Linked DNA regions of Sus scrofa. The protein of the gene in region 4 interacts with the protein of the main gene of each other region in a biochemical or structural test. Links are inferred from orthologs where the notes say so. Each region holds a gene or a part of one and is shown on either strand. Other genes may lie near its edges.

Region 1 (4,312 bases), on a different chromosome or scaffold from region 4:
GCAGGCCATTAAAAAAATAGTAAGAAAAATATACTAAATCCATGTGAATAAAGAAAATCATCAATTACTTGCTTTTTGTATTAATCTACAGCATACAATATTGCTTTAAAAAAAAAAAAGAATATCAGAGCTATGCAGGGAGTTCCCATTGTGGCTCAGCAGGTTAAGAACCAGACTAGTATCCTATGAGGATTTGGGTTTGATCCCTGGCCTTGCTCAGTGGAGTAAGGATCCAGCATTGCTGCAAGCTGTGGTGTAGGCCAGCAGCTATAGCTCCCACTCAACCCCTAGCCTGGGAACTTCCATATGCCAAGTGTGCGGACCTAAAAAAAAAAAAGAAGAAGAATATAACAGCTATGTAAATTAAAGCTTTAAGACAAATTCCCACCCTCCTATGACAAGATGGCTGTCCCTAAGCCCTTCTAAACTTAAACTCCCACTGCCAGGGTTTAAATTAGATGTTGGGCAGAACAAGTTAAGGACAAAGCCTAGATGCTGGCTGACTGAGAGAATGAAAGCCTCTGGCCACTTTCAGTCTGAGGCATGTTATCCAGGTGAGAATCTCCCGCCAGCACCTGGAAATTCAAATCTCAAGCTCTATTTACAGTAATAAGGATGTTTCACAAAGAAGATAAAAATAACTGTATATGTGAAAATGCTCTGTAATGTGGTAAGTGCCATTTGAAACTTGATCTAATTTAAGATTTTATTCTTGGGTTACAGTTAGATTTGAATGCTCCTTGTTAAAACACTCCCCCCCCCAAAAAACACCCAAATGTGCACTGCCTAATTATAATCAGGTTAGCCAGGTTTAAGTAGATTTACTAAGGAAAGAATTCACCTTGATCAATAACAAAAAAGGTGGAACAAAAGCAGGTTGAAGGGAAACAGACACGAGGAAACTGATCTCCAACAAGGGGAAATTCAGGAGAGGGTCAGGGTGCCAGTGGGCAAGCCTGGGGGAAGTTTTTGAGGACCTGCGTGTACTGTCTGGAGAGCCGGCCACGTGAAAAACTGCCCAGGACCTTTCTGAGACAGGACATCACTCCGGAGCAAAAAAAGGGGCTGCGGATCTGGAGGCGGCGGAGCACCCAGCGTCTCCTTTAACCCAGAGGGCAACCAAGCCTCGCTTCCTAGGGAGGAGACCCCTAAGACAAAACAAAGACTCCAGCCGTGAGAGGAGACCCAATGTGCGCTTGCGCCAAGAAGCGCGCGTGCGCGTGGCTGTCAGCTCCGCAGCACAAGGCATGGGAGGAAGGGAGACCCGGGAAGGGAAGTGCCGAGAGGAGAGAGCCGGGAGGCGGGGAAGGGTCGATTGGTAGGGCGCTCACGCGCGCCCACTGGTGGCCGGAGGAGAATACGCCTGCGGAGGCCTCAGGGCCCCGCCCCTCCCCTGGGGAGGCTCGCGCTCCCGCCGCTCGCGCCTGCGCCGCCCGCCGGCCTCGGGAGCGCGCCCTCTTGGCGGTGCGCGCGCTCGCAGTCTCCGCCACCCACCAGCTCAGGCACCAGCAGCAGCGCCGCCGTCGCCGCCGCCCACCTTCTGTCGCCGCCACCACAGCCACTTGACTGTTTTCCTCTGGTGTCCTCGCCCTCTGTCGACTATCAGGTAAGTGCGAGGCTCCGAAATCTGCCTCCCCCTCTGCCCTCCTGCACTCCCATGCCGCCGCCCCTCGCCCCAGAGATGGGTTTCCTGAGGTGAATTTTGGTCGGGGGCAACCGCCGGGGCCCCTCCTTGCCCCTTCTGCGTTGGGGCTCGGGATTAGGGCGACTTGGAAAGGGACCCGTGCAAGGGATGCATGGGTGTGCGTGTGTGTGTCCTGAGGGGGTCTGCACGACCCGTTGCGAGCGGACCCGGACAGAGGTTTTGCCCACAGGGTGGGGCGCGGATGGCGGTGACCTGGGGGAGGGGGCTGCAATGCATTCTCGAATACAGCCTTTTGCAGTAATAGGAGTGTGACTTTGTGGGTGTGGGGGGTGTTCAATGACGACCCCCCAAACCGAACCTCTAATCTGATTTCTCTGCCTCGGTTTGCCATCAGCTCTAAGGAAGGTATTGATCGGGTTCTAGGAAAGATGACTCCCTGCCTGCCCCTCCCTACACCTCCCCGGCAGCTATTCCAATGGGGCTTTCGCTGTCCCAGGTTTAAGGCGGTGGCCCACCCCTTCCCCGTTTTCCTCCTTCAGAAACCCGCAGGGGACATTTGGGGGCTGGGAGTGGAATCAGGGAGATGGGGAGGGGTCCCGGTGCTGTCACTTTAGTTGCCCTTCCCCCTGCGCGCGCCTGGCACCCAGACTCGAGCAGCGCCGCGCCCGAGAGAAGGTAGTGCGCGGATCTCAATGTGGAGGTGCGGAACGGCAGGGGTCACCTGGCCTTGCGATGTGGAAGGGCTCGGCAGCCGCGGATCCCAGCTCGAGGGCGCGCACAGCCGCAGCCCCGCACAGACGCGCGCGGGGGCTGCAGGTGCATTTCGGGGCGGGCCCCTTTCTCTGCGCTCTGCGCTCTGCGCTGGCGGACCGGCGTGTGCGCTCCCTGCCGGAGGCGCCCGGCTGGCGCGCAGGGCTCGCCCCTCACTGCGGCAGTGGGTGTGGACCCGGGTGGGCGAGGAGGGGGTGGGTAGGCCGAGCCTCCTCCCACTTCCACCCTTGCTTTTTTCCCCTCCGAACGCGAGGTGCCATCTTTTTGCGGCGTGTCATGTCTTTATAGTACCGTGCCAAGCCGAGCGGCTCGGCTTCGGAGGACAGGGCGAAGACTGTCATTGACGGGGAGGGGGCAATTAGCGCTGAAATCTTGGATTTTGCTGCTGCGGGCTTGAGCACTGGGGGAGTTCACCCAGGATTTTCCTTGGGGGCTCGGTGCTTTGTTTGTAGGGTTTACGTGATCTGCCTTGCCAGCCCTAGTTTTTGGCTCTTATTCTATGAGGGTGTTTAATCGAGGCCCCCACCCCTCCTCCCGCTTTTTGCCCCTCATTTCTGAGCCCTTTGTTAGATCTTGGCGCTCGCTGGGGTCGAGGAACTCGAGTCAGCCCCGAGGGCACGCAGGGAACGGGCGTGACCCCGCGAGCCCCTCTCCCAAAGCGGGGCTGCGCGCCAGGAAGCACCTGAGGGCCGAAGGGATGGACGCGAGTTGCGGGTGGCCACAGAGGGACGATGCCCCTCCCCATACTTGGAGCGTCCTGGGGGCGACGCCTCGCCAGGGAGCGCCGGCGACCCCCGGTGGGAGAAGCGGGGTGCAGGGGTGGGGGTTGCCCACTTCGCTTCACGTCCTGTTGCTTCACCAGGCGGGAGAATGTGAGGAGGGGGCATGAGGTGCTGCGGGCCACACCCTTTTATCAAAAGGCCTGGGAGGGGGTCGCAGGGGGAGGTTGTCATGGAGACCACCCGCACCCTGGGGACAGACCTTGGGGCGTTGCCCCGCCCCTGCCCAGCAGAGATAGAGAACCTAGGGATAGGCCCTGCCCCTCTGGCTCCAGGAGAACACAGGAGGGGGACCTCCCACCCCTTAACCCGTGGCTCTTCCAAATTGGACTCCTGCGGCCGCAACCACCAGGAAAGGCATCTTTCATGTATTTTTATTATTATAGTCGAATATTATTTTAGAACCGTGAGAGATTTTCATTTGAGAGCCCGAGTTCGCCGCCACCTTGAAACCCGGAGGCGGAGTGAGGTGGGGGAAGTAGGAAGGCGGGTAAGATCCTGGCGAACAAATCCGAGCCTCACCCTCTTTCCATTAGCTGGGTCCTGGCGGCTTTCTGGTTAATTCTATCGCTGGAAAGTGGTGCGGGGGCGCAGTTCTGAGATTCATGAGCATTTAAGGGAACACACCATCCTCTCGAGCCGCGCAGATTGATCTAAACATGCGGGGAATGACTTGGCTCGGGGTCGAGAGCCCCCCAGGGGCCAGGCCGAACCTTCCCTTGGCTTCGGGATCGGATCGGAGCGAGCTTTCCTGGGATCGGATCGGAGCGAGCTTTCCTGCAGAGCTGGGCTCGGCAGGGGCAGGTTGGAGAGAGGTTCAAGGATCAATTCGAGCATCTTCCCCCCGCCCCATAGAGCTAGACAAGAGATTCTGGTTCTAGACAGAGCTAGGGTCTAGACAGAGCTAGCAGACCTGGGAACAGGGAGCCCGCAGCCTCCGCTGCCTGGGATGGACCGCAGGCGAAGACAGCATCTCCTATCCGTTGTTGGGAAGGAGCGCATCATGGCAAGCGCGTTTAGCCCAGTGCTGGGAACAAAGCGCAGTATAGGCGTCCGCTATTTTACCCAATTTTGAAATGTATTGGCGGTTTGGTGGGGCTCTCGGGTCGGCAAGGCC
Region 2 (4,107 bases), about 12 Mb from region 4:
ACAGGCCCTGACAGGCCAGCCACACACAAACCCACAGCCAACCAGACACACATGCGCCCTTGGACCTTGCTTAGGTGCTGTGAGGCTCTGGGCTTCCCAGCCCATATCTCTAACCCCACCCAGAAATCCTGGTGCTTCCTCTCTCCAACATTGTCACCCCCCACACTGTTTGTCACTTCCCCTAGGAGGCCCAGTTCAACAGCCTCAGGCTTTCATAGGGTGTGGGCCTATTTTCTCAGCACATCCCCTGAAAATGAGGTACCCAGGATCTCAGCCAGGCTCAGGCCCCCCAAGACTTCACCAGCAGCATGGAGGGGGGGTGACAGAAACAGCTTTGTGGGAAACTCCCCTCGTGCCCAGCTGAGTCAGCCTGAGGAGACAAACTCTCCTCTCCTTCCTGCTTCCAAGAAAACTGAGCAGCTTCCTCTCCAGGAGAGGGGTGAGGGACCCCCCAAACCACAGAGATTGGGTAGGGAAGCTGCTGGCAAGCCAGGGTTCCTGGGGGGAGGGCCTCCGTGATTCTCAGCCTTTTCCTGCCAGCTGCCTGTCCACACCCAGGGGCAGGGACGAGGGAGTCTGGGTGCTGTGACTTGCGGGTTCTCGCCCTGGCCTGCCCACTGGCTGACTCACCAGCAGCCCCCAGCCCAGTTTTCTATTAAGGGCCCTGCCAGCCAGTGGAGCCGGCTGTGTGTGTGGGGGGGGGGGTGGGGGGGTGTCACCAGGCTATTTATAAGAAGGAGAAGTCCCTCCTGCCAAGGCCAAAAGCCCCAGAGAGACCTGTGGGTGGGGGTGGGAGAACTTCCTCCTTATCCAGTCCCCTAGGCCCCCGGGCCCTGGGCATGAGGGAAGCCTGGACACAGACTCCTTGGGCAGATGCTGGTCTGGAACCCAGGGCCTGGGCAGTCCCCAGCTGCTAGTCTGGGCACCCAGGGCTGATGGAGGAGGGGGCTCTCCTCTCTGGGCCAGCCTTGGCGCCAGTGGGACGGCGTGAGGGGGTGGTGCCCAGGCCACAAGGGTGAGACTGGCAGGGGCCTGGAACCGGCTGTACCAGCTCAGCTGGGCCCCCGCCCTCCCTCACTGGCCCATCCCCACCCCCTGCTCAAACACCCGTGCAGAGTGCAGAGAGTGACCCGACCCCACTCCAACATGCCGGCCTGCCCCCAAACACACTAGCACCCCTCTGCCCTGTGCCCAACCCTGTTTGTCTAAAGGATAAAGGAGACCTTTTTTTTTTCTCTTTCTTTTTCGGGACCCAGGTGTGGCATATGGACGTTCCCAGGCTAGGGGTCGAATCAGAGCTACAACTGCCGGCCGGCCTACACCACAGTCACAGCGATGCCGGCTCCGAGCCACTTCTGCGACCTACGCTACAGCACAGGGCAACTCTGGACATCCTCATGGATACTAGTCGGGTTCTTTTCTGCTAAGTCTCTATAGGAATTCCAGGAGACTCTTCTTGAAAGGGCCTGCAGAACTTGACAAACAGCTGGCACTGCATAAATGCCTCTCTAGTTGTGATTATCCACACAAAAAGAGCTGAAATTCTGGAGTCAGACATCTCAAGTTCTAGATCAATTCCAGTGCTTATAGCTATGTGACATGGGGCAAAGTTCCTTACCTTTCTGTTCCTAAGTTTTTTAGTCTGTTAAATGGGGATACAAAGAGCATGCATTTCGCTGGATTGTTGGAAACAGGCAATGAGTTATTCCATGTAAACCACTTAGAAGAGTGCCTGGCCCATGGTAAGAGCCATATAAGTGTTAGCTATTAAAATAATAATTATTATTTCTCAGTCTGTTGGCCTGTCTCAAGAGTCTCTGAGTTTGCATGACTCTAATCTTGCATCTCTCCCTGCCCTGACCCCCACCCCCATACATCCACTTTTCCTTGCTCAGGCCTTGCCCTCCATCTCTACGCTCATGGGCCAGTCTTGCCTCTCTCCAAGGCTCCCCTGGCACAGCCAGCTTCAGCACTGGTCAGGGATGACTCACTGTGTACTCCTAGCCTGTGGGACCTGCAGGTTAGCCTCCTGAGATGCTGCCCTCCAACCAGACCTGCCCAGCCCCCCAACACTACCCCGTTGCGCCCCCGCAGGGCCCAGCCAGATGTCAGCTGCAGTTATTAGCATGGGCGGGAGACACAGGCCTGGCAGCATGCCTGCCAGACTCAGCGGCCACTGGAATCTCCCTTGAGCCTGGGGAGGGGGAGGGGAGCAGTTCAAGCAAAGGAGGAGGGGAGGGGGTACCCAGAGGTCACAAGGACCCTCCAAAGATGGGGACACCCCCAGCTTCTCATGGGACCTTCCTCCCCAACACCACCACCGGCTCTGCTGGACTTCCCCCTGCCCCCACATAGCTCAGTTTCTCTTTCGCCTCTTTCGTTTTCCTTCTCTCCTCCACACTTGGTGAGCTGTGTCTGCCCTACAAAGGCTGGCTATCTCCTCTCCCTCAGCCTAAGTCTACCCTAAAGAAACTTCCATGTTTCCAAAAGATAGACATGTCTCTTTCAAGACAGAGAGGAGACAGATACTGAGAGGCTCATCTCTGGTTCTAGTGGCTCATAGCCTACCTCCTGGAAGTCCCACCTTAAGTATAACTAAAGCCTCAGCATCTAAACCTTCACCCATTTTGGGGAAGAGGCTCTGGAGAGGTTCCCTCAGATTCGACTCATGGATTTTCAGGTCCTCTCTGTCAGCAGGGGAAGGGAGCCCTCAGATGAGGGAGTGTGGATCCCCCTTTGGGTATTCTGGATGGTGAGGAGACCCTCACACTAAAATAGGAGTAGGGCCTCTCACCCACGTGAGTGAAGGAGGAAGCACCCCAGCCCCTAGGGATGTATTTGGGGAAGGACCCCAGATCTCCTGGCAGAAAGTAAGGGCACCCAGCATGAGGTAGGAGGCCGTCGTGCCCGCCCGCCCAGGCGCCGGGGTCGCCCAGAGGCATTGGCGCGCCCCTTCTGCGCCCATCGGGCCGGGGGCGAAGTCCGACCCAGGCCCGCGGGCAGGCGCGGACCTGCCAGGCTGGGTCGGGCTGGGCAGGGCCTGGCAGGACGCGGCCCCAGAGCGGCTGGGTGGGGCTGGGCCAGGAGGCCGTGGGGGCCCCGGGGGCGGCGGTCGGGGCTGGTCGGGACTAGCCGTCTGGGGGCCCGGGCGCGCCCTGGGACCTGGCAGATACTCGGGCTCCCGGCTCCTGGCCGGGGGCCCCGGGACAGTGCTGACCCCACCCCTTCCTGTGCCCTTATATGGGCGTCAGAGAGAGACTCCGGGGGCCGCCCCGCCCCCAGTCCTGCCTGCGGACTCCGGCCTGTTGCCTTGGCGACCAGGCCCCGCTCCCCGGCGCGTCCCCCTCCGTCCGGCTAATGGAACCGTCCCCGGATTGCTAGCCTTTACGACACTAGGGCTGAACCACTGCAGGGGTGGGGGTCGATGACTGGGGACCTCTGCGGTTGGGTGTGTTCCGCTCGCTCTGACTTCCTCGGGGGTCGCAAGCCCAGGTTCCTCTTCCGAGGCGCAGGACCCGGCTGGACCCAGGGCGGGGCATATGGTCCCGTAGGATTCGAGTGACGGAGGCAGGGCCCGGCTCCTTCCCCCGGGGCTGTTGCCACACTTCCTGCCGCGGCGCTCTTTCCCCAGCCTGTTTCTAAGGAAGAGTGGGGTTGGGCGACCGCGCCCCGGCCGTCAGGCTGGGTCCAGGCACCAGGAGTCTTCACGGTGTCGGTCAAGCCGAGGATCACTGGGGGAGGGCTTTGGGGGTGGGGAGAGAGTATACTGGAACTTAGAGGTCACTCACGAGAGGGGGCGCCCATCATGGAAGATCTAGCAGTCCAGGTATCCTGGATCCTCAAAGACCCTTCCTCCCATGTTTCAGCCAGGGCCCCTCCCTTAGTGTCATCCCAGCTCCGAGGGGGTGCCCCGACCCTTCTAATTCTTTTTCATCGGGGCTTCGCAGTTGACCCCAATGACCCCTAGCCTCTGACAACGTCCCAGTCTTCTACCCCACATATTTTCCTTGACTCAGTGTACCCCAGAACCCTCACTTTTTCTGCTTATCTGGGTCCCCCCAGTTCCTTACTCTTCCCATGTAGGGGGCTCTCAGTCTCATGGATCCC
Region 3 (4,085 bases), on a different chromosome or scaffold from region 4:
TCACCAGTGGGCTCTTGATCAGGATTCATGCCATCTGTGTGGCTGCCAAGGCTGAAAGTGTCAGTCTTAGGTTCATGGTGTCCTCAGACCTCACTGAAAGGAAATGCAAATCAGGTGGCTAAAAGTGGGAGAAATAAGGGCCTATGGGAACTGGCAGAGTACAGGCGTTTTCGTCGTGGTGCAGCGCTAACGCATCCCACTAGGATCCACAAGGATGCAGGTTCAAACCCTGGCCTTGCTCAGTGGGTTAAGGATCCAGCGTTGCTGTGAGCAGTGGTGTAGGTTATAGATGCGGCTTGGATCTGGTGTGGCTGTAGCTGTGGTGTAGGGTGGTAGCTGTACCTCCAATTGGACCCCTGGCCTGGGAACCTCCGTATGCCGCGGGTGCTGCCCTAATCACAAACCAACAAAAAAATCTGGTAGAGTCTAAGGAAAATCAAATAGGACAAGTGGAAGTTAACATGTAACCACAGAAGAGTTCCTGCTGGGGCATCACAGGATTGGTGGAGTCAGGAGTGCTGGGACGCAGGTTCCATCCCTGGCCAGTGGGTTAAGGATTCGGTGTTGCCATAGCTGTGGCTTAGGTCTCGACTGCCTCTTGGATCTGATACCTGGCCCAGGAACTCCACATGCCATGGGGCGGCCAAAAATGAAGAAAAAAAAAAAAGTGAAATGGTAGATGGAGTCCTGTGGTGGCACAGCAGGTTGAGGATTGGGCACGGTCACTGCTGTGGTGCAGGTTTTATCCCTGACCTGGCGACTTCCACACGCTGAGGGTGTGGCCAAACAAAAATATATATCTATCGAAATGAACTCAGTGTGTGGGTTAGATGACGCATTGGTGAAATGAAACTGAAATCTGCATAAGTTACACAAAATCAAGACACCGAAGTGGAGTAAATGAGCGTTTGTTGCTGGATCTTAGGATGAGACTGGAACCCCAGAGGGGACAAGTGAAGGGCAGAGAGCTCTGAACACCTACCGTGTAGGCGTGCGTACTGCGGTGACGCTGCAAAGGCAAGTCAGAGGACAGCCAGGTCAGCATCCTGGACACCTCAGGAGGGAGGGGACAGGCGCCCAAAGATAATGGCCCTTCCCTCGGGGCGGGGGGAGGGGGCACGCGGATGCTCGCCCAAGTCCAGGCCGTACGGAAGCATTTGTGCACACTGCGCGGACGCGCGGCCCCTGGTAAAAATCTACGCCGTCAGCGTCGCGGGAGCTGACCGACAGCGGCTCTGACAAGCCTGCCGGAAGCGTTCCCTGCCCAGCTTCCGGCCGGAGACGGACTTCCTCCTACGTCAGGGCACCTGCGACCCCTAGCGGCGGGGCGCCGGCGGGACGGGCGGGCACCGCCCTCGCTGTCTGGAGGGCGGGACTTCCGGGCGGCGGGACTTCCGGCTGCTGAGTGACGGGCGCAGCATCAGCATCGGCGGCGGCAGCGGCTGAGCCCTGAGGCAACAGCGGCTGCGGCGGAGGCGACGGGCTGCGGCCTGCGGACTCACGGGCAGCCGGGGCGGGCGAACGCGCCGGCGGACAGCAGGCCGCGCTGGCGGCGGCGGTGGCCGCGATGATGGAGATCCAGATGGACGAGGGCGGCGGCGTGGTCGTGTACCAGGATGACTACTGCTCCGGCTCGGTGATGTCGGAGCGGGTGTCGGGCCTGGCGGGCTCCATCTACCGCGAGTTCGAGCGCCTCATCCACTGCTATGACGAGGAGGTGGTCAAAGAGCTTATGCCGCTCGTGGTCAACGTGCTCGAGAACCTGGACTCCGTGCTCAGCGAGAACCAGGAGCACGAGGTGGAGCTGGAGCTACTGCGCGAGGACAACGAACAGCTGCTCACCCAGTACGAGCGGGAGAAGGCTCTGCGCAAGCAGGCCGAAGAGGTGCGTGGGCCGGGCCGCGCGGGGGACCCTCGCCCCGCCCGTGGGCCCCGCCCTCAGCCCCCGCCCTGGCGGGGCCCGACTCCCGCCCCGCCCACCCAGCCAAGCCCCCCGGGGCACCCCCCCCGCCGGGCCCAGGGGCTGAGCCCTGGCTCCCCCTTCCTCCCGGCCCGCTGCTCCAGCCAGGAGCCCTGACCCCTAAACCACCTGGCGTCACGGGGGAGAGCTTGCAGCGCGAAGGGTCTCAGGCCCCAGTGTCCCATCCTTACCCACCTCTCATCCCAAACGCCAGGTCTTTTTGCTTTTGTGTGTGTGTTTCGCAAACGTTTCCTAGACTCCAGGTTGCTGCCGTTTTAAAGTCTCCGAGAAAAAGGAGGTTTCTGATCTTACGGTTCTGCAGCCAGAGGCTGTCCGTTGTCAGATCTGTGCCTTGTCTCTGGGCCGGTGTTTTGAAGGTCTGTGACCCGGGCGAGTTTAAGGATGGATATGAACACAGAACCAAAGCCTCGCTGGCACCTGGTGAAAGACCTCAAGTTTATGGAGGTGGTTTCTTTCCCCTGCGTTGCCCTCCCTTGGGGAGGTTGTTAGCTTCTGTGAAAAGGCTGAGAAATTGCACTGTGGCTTCCGAGGAGTTAAAAGGAGAATTTGGAAAGAGTGTATTCTGTCCTAGATATTCTATCTTCCTAAATTGGACGTCATGTCTTTGTGAGCCACTTAGAAGAACCACACGCATTGTAAGGAACCCCACTTACCTTCATTCATTCACCGTCATTTCACGCTCTATGCCAGACCTAGGCGGGTCCGGGGATGTGGGCTCTCGTCCCTGCTTTTTGCCTCTGTGACCTTGTCCACGGCGCCTCTCTGCCCCGGATTTTGCATTTCCGTCCGTCCTGTAGTCACTCGCCCTAGATGATCTCTGAGCCCTGACATTCTGTGCCACCCGTCATTGGGTGATGCTTTTCCATTGAGGAATAGGAAGTTTCTTACTACATGTGCTAAATTCCCCTGTAATTAATTTGGGTCAACACCTTCTTGACTTGAGTATTGAAGTGGATTGTTCCAGTGTTTCGACTTTTTCTCGAGCCCAAGCAGTGGGTGGCCTGGTTTGGTTTAAGTGTGTGTGTGCGTGAACGTTGTCTTGTGTCATTCTTGCTTCCGGGGACCCACTGGCTCTTGGGTTTTGTGCATCTGTCAAAGGACGGTTGCCTGCTGGGGCTCACAACTGAAGGGGATGCCCAAGCTTGTAGGATTTCGGAGTTCACGGTGGCCCTAGGCATTTCCTGGGGAAAGAACAGGGGGCGCCGGGGGGGGGGGGGGGGGGGGGGGGGGAGGGGTCCCAGGTCACATGCCCCGGAAGGACCAGGCGGGGACCCAGTGTGGCCTGACCCCTGGCGTGAGCTCTTCCATGATGCCGCTGTGGGCGGTCAGAAGCCTGACGCGCCGGGCTCCCCTCCCCTCCCCCCGGGCAGTGCCGCCCATTTTGGCCTGTCCTCAGCAGCCATCTGATGCCTCACGGTGGGTTTCAGGAGGGTTTCCTGCGTCCCGTGCCCGTGTGGTCCGTATAGTGGCCTGGAAGGAAGTCCGGGGAGAAGGATGGACGGCCTTAAGGCTGAGAACCCTCACCTTCCGACTTCACCCTCAGCTCTGGGTGGGCGAGGCCGCGCTCTGCTCCGTGCAGTCCAGGGGCAGCCCCAGCCGAGTGGGCCCCTGGCCGCCCGGTCGCACCCGGGGCCTGAGAGCTGAGCAGTCTGGAGGAGACTGGCTCCCTGCCTCCGCTGTTGAGAGAGGCGGAGCCGCGAGCCCCGGAGCGGACCCGGTTTGGCAGGCCGGCCAGAGGCTGTGATGTGACACTAACGGTGCCCTTAGAGAGACCTCCCGTGTGGCCGAGTCCCGCCACCGGGTCGGCATCCTGGCTCACTTTCCGCGTCCAGCAGACGCCCCTCTCCTGTTCCGTGGAAGAGACCGGTCGGGGGCGGGGGGGGGGTGCTTTTCCAGACACAGGGGCAGAACGGCCTGGCCTGGCAGTGGCTCCTGGCGCCCTGGCCGGTCTGCTTGGGAAGGCGTTTTCAGAGGCCGTAACCCGAACCGCCTGCAGCCTCTGAGTGCGCGCAAGCTGCAGGCTAAAGAAGAGCCGGGAGCAGAGCAAGCACCCCTGCCCCTGCGGCACGCCCGCGATAGGCTCAGCGAGAGGCTGGTGCCTGTG
Region 4 (4,098 bases):
ATTTTATTTTATTTATTTATTTATTTGGTCCTTTTTTTTTTTTTTTTTTTTTTTTTTGCTATTTCTTGGGCTGTTCCCGCGGCATATGGAGGTTCCCAGGCTAGGGGTCGAATCGGAGCTGCAGCCACCGGCCTACACCAGAGCCACAGCAACGCGGGATCCGAGCCGCATCTGCAACCTATACACAGCTCGCAGCAACGCCGGATCGTTAACCCACTGAGCAAGGGCAGGGACTGAACCCACAACCTCATGGTTCCCCGTCGGATTCGTTAACTGCGCCACGGCGGGAACTCCAAGATTTTATTTTAAACGGGCAAATTGAGGTGCATTGTCTAACATTTATTTAGAAGGGCCAAATAAACACATTTTAATGTGTCAACAAATTATTTAAAGTCCTGGTCTCCCGAAAATTAAATCCTCAGGAGAATCAAAGCTCTTCAGAGAAGACTATGCCAAAATAGGATTACTTTTAACTCTGCAGGAGTCTTCTGAAGGGGAAAAAAAAGGGTTAAAGTGAAGGAAATCATTATTTAGACTGGATGCTATTCTTCCAGAACAAATTAAGAGCCAAAAGAGAAAACTCAGAACTGAGAAAAGAATGCTGATGGGGGTGGGGTGGGGGAGACCTGGGTTCAAATTTCACTTTCCATCTGCCTGCTGTGAAACAGGCTGCTGAAACTCTGGGAGTCTCTGGTTCCTCCTATGCAGAAATGGGCTTCATAGCTGCCATCACAGGGCTCCAGGCACATTAAGTGATAGTACCTGGATAAACAGGGTCTAGCTCCCCTGGCCTCAGGCTACCTTTCCAGCTCTTTACAACCTTTTCCTCCTACACAACCCGCCCAGAAGGTCAACAGCCAAGCTGAATGAGGTCTGTATGTTGCATGGTTTACATCACTTAAAATATTTTTTAATTAGCTACTGCTAACATTTAAAAATCAAGAGAGTACAGATACAAATGTAGAGTTCTGACTTTAAAAACCACCGGGTGAGCTAGATCTGGTTCTCCAGGGTCCCTCTAACTCCAACCTCTCTTACACCTAGCCCCAAAGGCTGATTCCTGAGCCACATTGGGGAGGAATCCTTTCCCTGCCCTTTCCCACTTCTTGCCTCCCCTTGCCTGACAAATTTCTCATCATTGTACAAGGCCCAACTCCAGGACCACTTATCACCCCCTCCACCTTTCCATGGCTCAGCCCCTCCTCTACAGCAAGCTGTCCTAGCACTGTCTGCATATCAGCCTTCTTTACTGGGCTCTTGGGCTCTCTGGAGGAAGGGACCCTGTTGCTATTGGCTTTATGTCCCCAGGGCAAAAAACCTGACCTAGATAATGCAGAGTTCAGTAAATGCCTCCTGAATGTGTGCAAGGAAGTTAGAGCTAAAAATCGTTATAAAAATGCAAGATTTTATATCACAGCTTGTTCTGACAGATACCAAATAAAGGGGTCAAGGACATTAAAAATGTTCCACAAAAACGAGAGCAAGCTTCCATTTGCATACAAGTTTCACAAGTTAGTCAGAAGTCACTAAATGAACAGAGGCAACAGGTGGGCAGGGTCATTCATTCATTCATTGAACTGGTATTACTAAGTACTTACTGTGTGCTTTCTAAGCACTGGGATAAAGCAGTGGACAAATCAGACAACTACCTGTTTTCATAAAGCTACATCCTAGTGGGAGAGACAGAAAATAAACAGGCAAATCAATAGAATAGCTTTAAACCAGATACTAAGGGGAAAATTAAACAACATGAGATAGAATGACTAAGGGAAGAAAGAGGGTGGTCAAGGAAGGCCTCTAGTAAAATGAGACATCTGACCAGAAGAAGGACCAGAAGGAGCCAGCCGTGCCAAGAGCCCAGAGACAACGCCAATTGCTGGAAAGAGCCAGTGCAAAGGTCCTGAGATAAACAGGGCTGCCTGTTTACAGCAAGTAAGACAGGTAGGCTAAGAGAGCAGTGCTCTGGGTTAGGGGAGTGGGGAGAGCTGGGGGGGGGGTGGGCAGGGCCCGCTCAGGCGTTGCTGGGCATGAGTGTGCAATGACGAGGCACTGGAGGAGCTAGAGGATGGGGGCCTCTGGGCAGAAGGGGCGGGGGGGGGGGGGGTCTTGCCACACTCGCACCAGCAAGGGGCAGTATCCCGCCCAATTTTCCCCAAATGTGCAATGAGCTCTTCCCCAGGCGCTTTTACAAATATTCATATGGTCTGACAACAATCCTGTCCAAAAGGATAGACATTTCCCCCACTTTCCGAGAGAAAAAACAAGGAATAGCGAGGGTCAATGCCTTTGCCAAGGTCGCAGGAACCAGACCCCGGGTTCTGAGCATCCCAAAGCGGGTGTGCAGCTGCGTGCCAAACAATCGGGAGGGGTGGCGCCTACAGACCCTAAGGCAGGTCGGCCGAGGCCAGACCTGGGAGCGGGCCCTCAGCTCCCGGCTGCAACAGCCAGGAAGACAGGGGGCTGCGACTAGGGTCGCCAGAATCCAGCAGAACCCGGTTGGCTCCTCAGAACTGGTCAGCCGGCCCCGCGACACCCAACTCCCCACCCCGCCCTCCACTCCTCCACGGACCCTGGCTGCGCGGCCCTCCTGCCGCCCCCCCCAGGCAGGGCTTGGCCCAAGCAGTCCCCGCCGGGCCTAGCCCGCCCGCCGGGCTCACCTCGCCTCCCTGCCGCCGCGCCTGGGGGAGAGGGCAGGCGGGCGGACTGGCGGCGCTGCGCGCTGGCGGGTCGTGGCTCGCGGCTCGCGGCTCCGCTGCCCTGGGCTCGGCCAGCCGCCCCGCCCCGCTCCGCTCCGCCACGCCGCCGCCGCCGCCGCCGCCGCCGCCACTAGCCGCCGCCGCAGTGGGTGTGAGGGGCGCCGGGGCGCTCGGACCCTTCCGGTCTGGCTCCAGCCTCCTCCGCCGCCGCCGCTGCCGCCGCCGCGGCGCCCAGCCTGACAGACCCGCGTGAAGACCAATCAGCTCGCGGTAAGCCTGGCAAGCGCGGCCAATCGCGCTGAGGAGGGGGGGCTACCGTCAGGAGGCGCAGGCGGGGCGGCGGGCGGAGCCAGGCCACTCAGTGCCGGTTTCTGCGGGGACCCGGGCTCCGCGGCCGTACTGCAGGTTGGGTCCGCGCTTGGTGGACTCAGGCACGGCCCTGCGCGCCAGCTGAGTTCGTTGTTGCGCACGGGGGCCAGCAGCGCGGCGGCCGAACAAGGAGGCGGGAGGCGGTGGAGAGGGCAGGCCGGTAGGACGGAGGGCCTGGCCACCGGGCTGCAGGTGCAGACTGGCAGGGACGAGTTGGCCTGGAGGAAGACGGAGCTGGCCCTTTTCGGGGAGAGCCCTCTTCGGGGAGAGCCCGGGGCGAGGGCGAGGAGAAGCTGGGATTTTGCATCCAGGGCCAGGTGGCTGAGGCAGAGGCGGCCAGGGAGTCGGGAGGCGAGATAGGGTCCTTGGATTCCGCTGCTCACTGTGAAGGGGTTTGGAGGAATGCTTCCAGAAGTCGGGGAGGAGGATGCGAGGAGACGGCCGTGTGTAAACAAGTGTCGCGGGCAGATCTGTGACACAGGCGAAGAGAAAACTGGCTGGGGCGCCTGAAGCAAAGGTCAAGCCTCTGTCTCAGAGAATGGCAGAGTTGTAAATGGGAAGAGAGTGCAGAGCTGACGGCCCCCTAGGGCCTGGGGGCTTTTGACACTGACCTCTTGAAGCATCTCCTGCAGCCCTCTTGCCTCTGGGTCGGGTTCCAGCAGGTCTGGAGTCCTGTGAAATGATGGGAGAGACCAGAGTATTGAGTGTTGTTGGATCTGTGTTTGGATAAACAAAGCCAGAAATGAGACAAGAAGGCTGTGCACATTGGAAAAAAGCTCAGAGGTCCGTGGATGGGGTGAGGGGAATTGGACTTTGGGGTGGGGAGAGTGTTGGACTGTGAAGGAGGGACAGCCCTCACAGGTGACCAGGACTACAGGTGACCAGGACAGAGGCCAAACCGGGAGGAAGGAGCAGGATTCTGCAGTGGAAGAGGTTAAGGGGTGGGGTGGCAGAATTTGGAGAGAGTGGCAAGCCTGTGACCCAGGGCCAGGCTGGGGGTACCAGGGCCTCAGAAGAGGGGTAGGATGGAGGA

What was found. The genes of interacting proteins can lie anywhere in the genome.
Region 1: of the proteins of MAPK9 (region 4) and MAPT, one has a biochemical effect on the other in vitro, tested with the Homo sapiens proteins (2 studies listed by BioGRID). The link is inferred for Sus scrofa from reciprocal best matches to the Homo sapiens genes MAPK9 and MAPT.
Region 2: the proteins of MAPK9 (region 4) and JUNB form a complex in vitro, tested with the Homo sapiens proteins (2 studies listed by BioGRID). The link is inferred for Sus scrofa from reciprocal best matches to the Homo sapiens genes MAPK9 and JUNB.
Region 3: the proteins of MAPK9 (region 4) and MAPK8IP3 form a complex in vitro, tested with the Homo sapiens proteins (2 studies listed by BioGRID). The link is inferred for Sus scrofa from reciprocal best matches to the Homo sapiens genes MAPK9 and MAPK8IP3.

The regions. Positions count from the first base shown.
Region 1 is NC_010454.4:17,208,535-17,212,846, reverse strand, and holds the start of MAPT (microtubule-associated protein tau), read left to right. Parts: upstream 1-1,456; 5' UTR 1,457-1,606; intron 1,607-4,312. UniProt on the Homo sapiens protein: Promotes microtubule assembly and stability, and might be involved in the establishment and maintenance of neuronal polarity.
Region 2 is NC_010444.4:66,216,580-66,220,686, reverse strand, and holds the start of JUNB (transcription factor jun-B), read left to right. Parts: upstream 1-1,251; 5' UTR 1,252-4,107. UniProt on the Homo sapiens protein: Transcription factor involved in regulating gene activity following the primary growth factor response. Binds to the DNA sequence 5'-TGA[GC]TCA-3'.
Region 3 is NC_010445.4:40,238,596-40,242,680, reverse strand, and holds the start of MAPK8IP3 (C-Jun-amino-terminal kinase-interacting protein 3), read left to right. Parts: upstream 1-1,229; 5' UTR 1,230-1,567; coding exon 1,568-1,885; intron 1,886-4,085.
Region 4 is NC_010444.4:78,337,183-78,341,280, reverse strand, and holds the start of MAPK9 (mitogen-activated protein kinase 9), read right to left. Parts: upstream 2,816-4,098; 5' UTR 2,658-2,815; intron 1,671-2,657; exon of another isoform or gene 1,599-1,670; intron 1-1,598. UniProt on the Homo sapiens protein: Serine/threonine-protein kinase involved in various processes such as cell proliferation, differentiation, migration, transformation and programmed cell death.